Drosophila melanogaster: one gene and its partners. The protein of the gene in region 3 interacts with the protein of the main gene of each other region in a pairwise test. Each region holds a gene or a part of one and is shown on either strand. Other genes may lie near its edges.

The links.
Region 1: the proteins of ac (region 3) and E(spl)m3-HLH interact in a two-hybrid assay, tested with the Drosophila melanogaster proteins (2 studies listed by BioGRID).
Region 2: the proteins of ac (region 3) and emc interact in a two-hybrid assay, tested with the Drosophila melanogaster proteins (2 studies listed by BioGRID).

The regions. Positions count from the first base shown.
Region 1 is NT_033777.3:26,020,189-26,023,716, forward strand, and holds E(spl)m3-HLH (enhancer of split m3, helix-loop-helix), read left to right. Parts: upstream 1-1,634; 5' UTR 1,635-1,831; coding exon 1,832-2,506; 3' UTR 2,507-2,939; downstream 2,940-3,528.
Region 2 is NT_037436.4:747,750-751,507, forward strand, and holds the start of emc (extra macrochaetae), read left to right. Parts: upstream 1-1,650; 5' UTR 1,651-1,914; coding exon 1,915-2,478; intron 2,479-3,758. UniProt on the Drosophila melanogaster protein: Participates in sensory organ patterning by antagonizing the neurogenic activity of the Achaete-scute complex (AS-C). It lacks a basic DNA-binding domain but is able to form heterodimers with other HLH proteins, thereby inhibiting DNA binding.
Region 3 is NC_004354.4:367,938-371,470, forward strand, and holds ac (achaete), read left to right. Parts: upstream 1-2,093; 5' UTR 2,094-2,156; coding exon 2,157-2,762; 3' UTR 2,763-3,010; downstream 3,011-3,533. UniProt on the Drosophila melanogaster protein: AS-C proteins are involved in the determination of the neuronal precursors in the peripheral nervous system and the central nervous system.

The DNA of each region.
Region 1 (3,528 bases), on a different chromosome or scaffold from region 3:
TGCCGAAGGGTTGGTAATCGGACTATGCAAAAAGAGTTTTATTTCTTTCATTTTGGAACCCCCAATGCGCCGAGATAGCGAAACTGTTACACTTAATCGATACGCTTCAACGAAAAGTCAACCCACAGCCCCAGCCATAGTGGTGGTTGTGCACTGTGAGAAATATTTGAAAACTTAAAAAAAAAAACTGATTACATTTGAATTCGGTTATAAGTAAAATATCAAAATATATATATTTTCCATTCTTCCGAAATGGGGTGATCTATATTTATTGGTAATTAACATAGTTGCTGTTATTGAAATTGTTTCAAATCTACTTTAAACTCCCAAAAAGACCGCACATTTTGTCCACGTGCAGTTGTCGCAGTCATCATCATCAGCCAAGCATGCGACATAATTGCGCGAGTTAAGGCTGCCCCTCCACCCAGCCATCCCTCACCAGTTCGCCCACTGCCCCCCATTGGCGGCTGACAGTCAACCCGCTTGAAATCAACCAGCAGCAACAGCAACAACATTTCAGCAATCCATCGGATCGCATCACAATCCAGCCATCCGTCCAACGTGTGGGAAACACACGACAAATCTGTTTCCCACGGTCTCGTAAAGTAGGCACACCGCACACACACACAAACACCCATCCCCATCCACTGAGCCATGGGACCCACAATCACATAGGCTACTGCCTCGTAGGCTCCCTCGTGTCTCATTCTCATTGTTGGTGTGAGCGGTACGGAGCAGCGGACTTCGACAGCGAATGGGAGCCGAGCACTGTCATCATTGACAATAAGTATGACATGGATGAGGGGGGATGGAGGGCGGGGTGGAGCGGCCTGAGAGACACGCGCAGTCGCCGAGAATGAGATCCAATCCGAAAGCCGACTGTCGACTGCCGACTGCTCAGTTTCCCTCTGGCCATGCAATCAATTGAAGACGACGCGCGCCAGAGCACCAAAGCTGCAGATACAGATACATTTGTATCTGCGGCGGGGCACGCTCTCGCTCGCTCCCATTGCATGCACCTTGGTTCGAAGTCGACTAGTTTCGGTTAATAATACTAATTTTGGACTAATAGTATTACTTTCAATAAGCAGATTTTACGAAAATAATTGCAGTTTTATTAACTTTGTAAGTGATTAATATTTTTTGAAATTGCTTTCTTTCAGGTCTTAAAATTTAGCAAATTTTTAAATCGTCCTTTTGGTTGAACAATTATGTTGCATACTTTTGAGAGTCATATAAAAAATAGTTGTAGCAAAATATAAAGAACACAAATTTAACACTATTGGAAATGAAAAATATTGATATTATATTCGCATTGCTAAAATGGATTATTTCTTATTTTTTATAATAAGCATAATTAAGAAGGTAAAGAGTTCCATGGTGATGGTCCCACTGTACCCCCTGCAGACGGTACAACCCCCATCATCGATGGCCTACAGTAGCCTCTCTTTGTGCCGCTGCCGAGCGCCGCTACCGATCCGCGACCGAAAAGAACCGAAGTGGAACTCGATCTTGGGCCCGAGTGCCTGGGAGCGTGTGTGAGTGATCATGCGGGAGCTTTGTGGCCGGGAGAGCCTGATCCCCGTTTGCCGGGAGAGCGTGGCTGTCATATAAAAGTAGGGCTGGGAACTAGTTTGCCACTCATTTCGTAAAAGTGCCGCCACTCGAACGCACCGCAATCGGTGGAACGCGCAACGCACGCGCAACAAACTCGTCAAAAAGTAACCAATCTATGAAACCAACCAAAATCAGTAGTGATAATGTGCAGTTGAGAGACTAAATACAAAAGAACAATCCTTAAAATACACAACATAAAACAACCCAATCGATCATGGTCATGGAGATGTCCAAGACGTATCAGTACCGCAAGGTGATGAAGCCGCTGCTGGAGCGCAAACGGCGAGCCAGGATCAACAAGTGTCTGGACGATCTCAAGGATCTGATGGTGGAGTGCCTGCAGCAGGAGGGCGAGCACGTCACCCGGCTGGAGAAGGCGGATATCCTGGAGTTGACCGTGGATCACATGAGGAAACTCAAGCAGCGGGGTGGTCTTTCGCTGCAGGGAGTAGTGGCTGGTGTTGGCAGCCCACCCACCTCAACCAGTACCGCCCACGTGGAGTCCTTTCGCTCCGGCTATGTGCATGCTGCCGATCAGATTACCCAGGTCCTGCTGCAGACACAGCAAACCGATGAGATTGGGCGCAAGATAATGAAATTCCTATCGACGCGACTAATTGAGCTGCAGACGCAGTTGCTCCAGCAGCAGCAGCAACAGCAACAACACCAGCAGCAGCAAATACCGCAATCATCAGGCCGCCTAGCCTTCCCGCTGCTGGGAGGATATGGACCGGCAGCCGCCGCTGCCGCCATTAGTTACAGCTCCTTCCTGACCAGCAAGGACGAACTGATCGATGTGACATCCGTCGATGGCAATGCGTTATCCGAGACGGCGTCGGTTAGCTCGCAGGAGTCCGGCGCCTCTGAGCCCGTCTGGAGGCCCTGGTAATTGGGCGTGCCCAATATGGATCTTATCCCTAATATTATAATCGCAACCCAAAAAAATGGCTATTGACCGTTCTGCAACAAGATCCGTTGTCTTCCAAAGTAAATCATATCAACCTAAGTTAATTGAGGTCTAATCGATTTCTGAATGGTTTTGAAATACTTTTAGTTTTAGTTCCGATAATGGTAATTTGTAAATTAATTGTTTAATTTCAACTGTGATATAACTAAAGTACGTTGATCAATCAATCAGTGAATATATATTCGAGTGCGCTATTTTCCTACTCCAAAAGTTCCCTAAGTTTAATATCTCGTTGCGCTCTCTTTATTGTTTAGCATATATTAAGCTTTAAATAATTTATAAATGTTAATTTATGATTAGTTGAGAAAGAATAATCAAAAATACACTACCCAAATAAAATAAATGATTTAAATTGAAAACACAATGTTTTTCTTTTGCGGGATTTCAAAATTTTATAAAATATTTATTTTGTTATATTAATAAATATAAACAAACTGAACGATATTATGCAAACCTAACGGAATACTGTTCATTCTTGTCCCAGTCCGCCAATGTTGTTTACTGCCCCAATAAATTACCTTTAATTGAACATCACCTCAAATGTATGCAACACATTTTCGACTCGACCCTGATTCATTCCCATAAGCAGATCATCTAATTGGAGCCTGTTCTTACCACCAATCTGATCGGCAATCAACAGATCCTCTCTACCTGCCCGATAACTGGTTGGCATTGTGGTCCAAATCAACAGGCCAAACAACAACCGTCAATATGCACTACCTGCTGGCAGGTAAATTGATCAACAATAAGACCAAAAAAGGTTCAGGATCGAATCGGATTAGGGTCCGCTCGTTTTTCAAATGAGTCATGCCAATTAAGAAAGGACTTCGCTCCCCATTTATTTTCTGTGTTGATTTGTAAACGGAAAATTGTTGGAACAATAAGGGGGAAACAAAGAATTTAGATTCCTATTCAATTATTTTTTTTTTGGGTGAAATGTAACA
Region 2 (3,758 bases), on a different chromosome or scaffold from region 3:
CCAGTCATGTCTCCCATTCAGCCATAGCGAACCAATTCAAAACCATTTCTAACGCAGACGATAACCAGAGAGAGACGTGTCGTTTTTCACAAACAACGACGCGCCCGCTCATTTTCAATGAAAATTTCCACAATTTCCTCAATGGATCGTCGTCGACCCATCATGTGTGTGAAATACAATCGTGGATTTCTTGCCCAGAAACCCTGCAACTTCTTCGGTGCAATGGAGTGGGAGAGAAGTCGAGGCGCCTCGAACTCTTATGTGTGTTCAAGATGTCGTGGACTCAAATTAAGATAAGATGCAGATAAGCCGTGCATTTCGATTTAGCCGTTTGAAAACTCGTTAATAAGAATTTGGTCAATCCACTGATAACGACTAGTTTTCCATTGAACGGAGGCGCATAACGCTTATCTTTGTTAGGAATAAATATGACAAATTGAACGACTACCGTTTAATCGTTTGTCTATATACGAAAACTTAACAGGATTGTTCGAGCTATCAGTTTATTTGAATAGTTATTGTTAATGAAAACTACTACTAACTAGCCCAATATAATATATTATGAATATTTACTCTTCTTATTTTCAAATGATTTAAAATTTTCACCATTCCACAGCGATTAAAATCTAATTTACCCATGCATATATTTAATATTCATTCTGTAATTAATCAAGCCCTTGTTGAACCACTCGCATTGTCTTTTTCGCCTTTTCGTGTTGATTGTGGAACCTCCTTATCCCACAAAACACTTTTCATTCATTTTCATGCTCATTCACAAAACATGAGAAAAAAAAAAGAAAAACAAACATTGCAGTCGTGAGAGGAAAATTATTGAGCGAGAGTTACTGTTCGTGTTTTCTCATTTTCAGCTGAGAAAAGCAGCCGACCAATCACAAAACCATTTCCCCTTTACAAAAAACCGATCATTTTGCATCTCGTGGAGAGTATTCAGATTTGTTTGGAGAGTTTCGGAGAGGAACTCGTTAAGCCGGGTCTACAAAGGTGAGTATCTGTGGACCGTGGTGGAGTCAGGGGAAATGTTAGTGCTTTAAAAAGTGTCTACTATGTGTGGAATTTGGATTGTATCTTGTGGATTGGATATTGTGGTAAGGTTGAGTTTCATTTGGTATCTCGGGTAGAAGTCAATGAGGTGGATGTTCGGGCACACAGGCTGTAGAACTTGTTGGATATTTTGTCAAGAACTGAAAGTATCCGAAAGGATTAATTCATAGCATATATACCTCAGTTGTATTTTGAATTATTTTAAATTAGTTTTCTCAGAATTCATGGGCTTCACACTACACATCTTCCCCTCTTAAGATCTCAGGCTTAAATTCGTACTCCATTCTCATTGTGGATTTGAAATGATGACTGTGAAGACCAAACACGAAGGGCTACCCCTTAATTCCACATTCTTGTCCACCAAAGCAGACCTCTCCGCAACTCACCTCTTAGGAACTCTCCTAAATTCCGGTTTCAAGTTGTGGTCCAAGTTCCACATGGACACCAATGAGACACATTCCCCAGTCTCCACTCTCCAACCAAGTACATATCTCTCTCCAGCCGAACGAACCCGAGAGCGAAGACTCCGCCTATCGGATTCGGAAATGCCCGTTCGGGGGGTATAAAAGCGGGCGCTCTGAGCGAGCACCACTCATTCGTTGTCTGACCGCTCGCAGCAAAAGATATAGAAATCGAGAACGTAAACGCAGAAAACACGCTGGATTAAAGTGTTTCGTTTCGAACATCGACAGAGTGAGAAAACAAAGTGAAGTGAGCGCACAAAGCCGAAATCAAATCAAATTGAAAAGCCAGTCAAGAGCAATCTTTAACTGAACCTCGCAAGTAATCCGGTACGACCGTGTAACAACCGCCAAGATTCTACTCAAGGAGCGTAAAGCAATCATCTCCAGAATGAAGTCCCTGACGGCCGTCTGCCAGACAGGTGCCTCCGGAATGCCGGCCTTGAATGCCAGCGGGCGCATCCAGCGCCATCCCACGCACCGCGGCGACGGGGAGAACGCCGAGATGAAGATGTATCTGTCCAAACTGAAGGACCTCGTTCCGTTCATGCCCAAGAACAGGAAGCTCACCAAGCTGGAGATCATCCAGCACGTCATCGACTACATCTGCGACCTGCAGACCGAGCTGGAGACGCACCCCGAGATGGGCAACTTCGATGCGGCAGCCGCTCTGACGGCGGTGAACGGACTCCACGAGGACGAGGACAGCGACATGGAGGATGCGGATGCCGAGGCAGAAGCGGAAGTCGATCCAGATATCCTCGCCCAGCGCCTGAATGCCGAGCAGCCGGCGAAAGTCTCTAGTCCCGCCGCCCGTCTCCCGCTTACCGATCGCCAAACGCCCAACACTCTTGTGGCGCCCGCCCATCCGCAGCAGCATCAGCAGCAGCAGCAACTGCAACTGCAGCAGCAACAACTGCAATCACAGCAGCAACTGTCCAACAGTTTAGCAACGGTGAGTTAACAAACAAATTGCTAGGGTAGTGAAAAACCCAAATAGGAAGTGGGCAGATGAGCACAGCTCAGGTCGAAATATTAGGAGAAATAATAAGGTTATGGAATATTTAAAGTAGTTATTTTTGAGAAAATAACATAGTTAAACATTTAAAGTACATGACTTCACTGGTTTCAACTAGACAATAAAGCGATTAATTGCTAAAGTTACGATAAGGAAGTGCGAATATCGCAAAGTTTGCGATCCACCGATTTTCGCTATTTCCTTGAGTGCCATTATTTTGACCGCAGCTGTTTGGCATTTGCATTGCAAATTTAGGAGACAATTGAGTGTCAAACTGTTTGGCTTTACTTGTTTTTGTTTCGCGAGTGACCTCATTCATAAGGCGATTGACGAATGTTTGCGTGAATGTTGTTTTTTTTCATTTTGTTTTATTTTTTTTTAACGGAAGGACGAGGCGCGTTTCGTTTCGTTGGCGAGTTTTGGGAAATTTCTTTATTGGGCGGGTGGCTTTAGACAACGCGGCCTGCCCGATTTTGTCGTACCCTCTTCTTCGCCGCACAGATTCATTTCGTTTTTATAGACATTTCACAGACCGTCTCTGTGCGATTGTATGCGTTGCGGTTGTTGTCGCCATCGTTTCTTTCTTTTGTGTGTTGCCTATACGTAGCTGTTAATTTTTTCTCGCGGCCTTTTTCTGTTGTTGTGATGTTTTAAATGAACACCTGCAGATACTTAAATTTATTTCACACACACTCGCACACACACATACTCACTCACTCACACGCACTTGCGAGCTTGAAAACGGAATTTGGAATTGGGGAATCATCAGTCTTCGTATTTTATTTCATTTGGGTTTATTTTTTGGCTCACTTCATTAGCTCTCAGCTTCGTTACTTCTTCGTTTTTGGACTTTCGGTTATTAATGATGCTGGCGAAAAAATTCGTTTGAGATCTACAATATGTTCGTAAAAACAGGTTCGAAAAAGCTTTTTTTTCAATGGGTTTCTCAAACAAATGATCGACTGGGTGGCCCGGCAAGTGTTATTAATTTTCGATCTCTGATTGTTGATTAATTGTGAAGGTGGAAACCCTTCTTCGAAATTCAGAAAGATGGTTTTGAAATCGTGCCTTCGTCATTCCTGGCTATGAGTTACTTCTTAAATTTTTGATTAATTAACTGTGGGTCTTTAGCTCAGTCCGCTTTGCGTAGGTCTCTTTTCTCTCATTTTGGGTGCGTAATTTTTGTGTTTTTGTTGCAAAACATCTGCAACCCACAA
Region 3 (3,533 bases):
CAATATCTCGCCGTGATGATGCCAGAAACTTCTTCCTTTCTGATTTAATGCAACGCCAAAACAAATTGTTATATTGGAGCCGCTTGCCTCCAGCAATTAATCAAAGCTCTCGCACTACAATTAATCAAAAATCGCCATCTTTCTTCGTTGAATTTCAAAAGGAGCTTGGCTTTTGCTCCTGGCCATAAATATTATTGCCAGTGGTGATATAAGAAATCGACCAAATAGAATTGGCGGCGTTAAAACGCTCACCTTAGATGTGACATCGTTTCGTTGACATATTCGCGTTGCTCTCATAAATCAGATATTTATATGGAGTGGGAAGTTGGGGGACTCAAAACCAAAACCATGGGCGGCTTTCGTCCTTTCATCGTCCGGAGATCGGTAATCTCTGGATGGCAATTTGATGGCCATGAACAGTTGACAGTTGACTTTTTATTTATTCAGCAGCAACATTTAATTCAATGGCACCTAGGCGTAGGCTCTACAGTTCTAAGCTCCCAATTTTGAAGACCCTAATAAACATGAGTACATACTTTGTACATACTTTTCATTTATCGGCTAGAATACCTGTACGATCAACATTGGTACTGAAATGTACGGAAGCTGTCCTGTAATCGAGGCCTTACTGTGTCGCAAGCATGCCGCTTTAAGAAGTGTGGAATAAATGAAACAACGTCAAGTAATCGGCAGACCGAGTCAATATTAATGACGACTTCATCTTTATTCGGTTGATACGCCATATATTCAGATCTCAGTTCTTCCCCCCTTAAGTTTATCCCGTCACGATTTTTCGGTTTTCTGTCGCAGGGTCTTAGTAACATTTATTGTACTATTTAGTCGTTATCAAGCAGAAAAGCTCAAGAAGAGCACTTGTGGCGCTAAGCGATATTCAAAGCAAAAAATAATAATAAAATTGCAAATTCATAAACCTGGTTGACACTGAATACCTTGTCTCAATGCTTCGCGGCAAATTTATATTACATCAACACGGATTTTGCAAGGTCGACCGGATATGTTTGATTTTATTAGCCTCTGGACATCTGGTATGTCTGTGCTTAGATGCCCTGTGATGTCCTTTTCACATGTAATGCTATGCAATCCCCCGGGGCTACAGCAACGAAGTGTTAAACGAGGCTCAGTGTGAGTTAGTGCCAATACAAATCTATTTCGGCACGGTTTCCTAGCGTGCAACCAGAATTCTGACAATGGTTTTAAGAAATAATGGGGACCTCCTAAATGCTTTCAAAATGCTTTCGGCTGAGAGGAACAACAACTGATACGTTGGGCATAAAGGCCCCGGGGCATTAGAAGTGTTAATAGAAAAGTGCCTCCGGCTGATCAGGTTTCGTTGCAGGACCGAATGGATCGCCGCCTGAGGTGTTGATGAGCTGGCCTTGAAAATTCCTACGACTTTGGATTCGAGCGACAATGGTCTAGTGTTTAAGATAATGTCCGAATGATCCAGGGATCGGAAGGTCATCAGTACATAAAATAAATTAAATTAAATGTATTAACATAAAATTAAAGATTTTTTAAAAGTCTAAAATACCTAGCCTTGTTAATTAAAGATTATTTTTTCGTAAACACTTTTGGTAGTGTATAAATTGTAAATGTCCCCATTTTTATAATTGTAATGACAGTCTATTCCACTAATTTTGTTGTATTTTGTTAGTTATACAAATTGGATGGCCACTTTCAATAGGAGATACAGCTTTTTACTTCGGAGGTGTTTTTACTTGGCTCTGATGTCTGGACCTTGTTGCCTTTTTAAACCGGTTGGCAGCCGGCACGCGACAGGGCCAGGTTTTCGTTTGGGGACGACAGGCAGCTGAAAATGAGCAAAAACACTCAGAAACTCTTCCCACTCGACAACGGGAACACTCAGGTCACCAACAGCTGCGTTTTACAGAGAGAACGAGAGATAATATTACTACCTCTCTATTAAAATCAGAGAAAACACTCATCTCAAGAGACGATCCTTCAGTGATGATGCTGTTGCACCTTTTCCAGGGGCAGGTAGGTAGTCACGCAGGTGGGATCCCTAGGCCCTGATACCTATAAATAGCCTGAACGGAACGGGGAAGGGCATCAGAACAGAGCCAGCGCTGAAGCAAGGAGCATCGTCACACAATAACGTTATACTATCTCTTAAAATGGCTTTGGGCAGCGAAAATCACTCTGTTTTCAACGACGACGAGGAGTCATCTTCGGCCTTTAATGGACCCTCTGTTATCCGGAGAAATGCCCGGGAACGCAACCGCGTAAAGCAGGTCAACAATGGCTTCAGCCAACTACGACAACATATCCCTGCGGCCGTAATAGCCGATTTAAGCAATGGTCGCCGGGGAATTGGTCCCGGCGCCAATAAAAAACTGAGCAAAGTTAGCACACTGAAAATGGCAGTAGAGTACATACGGCGCTTGCAGAAAGTTCTTCATGAAAACGACCAGCAGAAACAGAAACAGTTGCATTTGCAGCAGCAACATTTGCACTTTCAGCAGCAGCAACAGCATCAACACTTATACGCCTGGCACCAAGAGTTGCAGTTGCAATCTCCAACTGGCAGCACAAGTTCCTGCAACAGCATTAGCTCTTATTGCAAGCCAGCAACATCGACGATTCCGGGAGCAACACCTCCTAACAATTTTCATACCAAGTTGGAAGCCAGTTTTGAAGACTACCGTAACAATTCCTGCAGTTCTGGTACTGAAGATGAGGACATCCTCGACTATATATCACTCTGGCAGGACGACCTGTAAAAAAACAGATCAAATCTTCAGCTATTGCTAGTCGCACCCAACCATAACACACATCAAACCATTGATTGGCCAACAAGTATTACCTCAGCCACAAAGTATTTATATTCCCTAGAACTACCTTTTTGCCTTATAAATTAGTATTTAAGGTTTTATATAGTTTCTAAGGATAGTTTCTAATGGAAGACAATTTATATTTAAGTTTTTTTTTATAGCATACATTGAGGACATTAAACTGATATATATAAAATTTTAAATGAGTTTTTATTGTAAACAAAATTAAACGGTAATTAAAGTGAAACAAATTTATGTACAAAAGGAGTAAAATTCAGAAAAGTTTTAATGAACAAATGCTTTATGAATATGGGCGTAGCAATGTTTTGATACAAACTTGATCCTGTCCTGTATACCACAGGACACGCTTCCTTTTACCTGGTACATTCCTTTAAACGATCCTAGTATACGCTTTATTCGGGGTAAGCCCGAAAAAAGTATTCGAAACTGTAACCGTTAAGTATTTACAGATCACTAGCCAATGAAGATAAATTACAATAACATTTTGTAAACACTTTTGATCGAAAACGCCGATTTGCATAAATAAAGTTGGATTGAGTAGGGTGAAAAAGGCAAAATATTTACCTGCTGCATTTTTGCATATGAACCGGTCAAGGTAATAAGATCCTGAGAATTCACAATTCCGGAGAGATCGATCGATCGATCGATGAATGAACTAATTTTGAGTTATTCCCGCAATGCAGCCGAAACAAGCGAAAA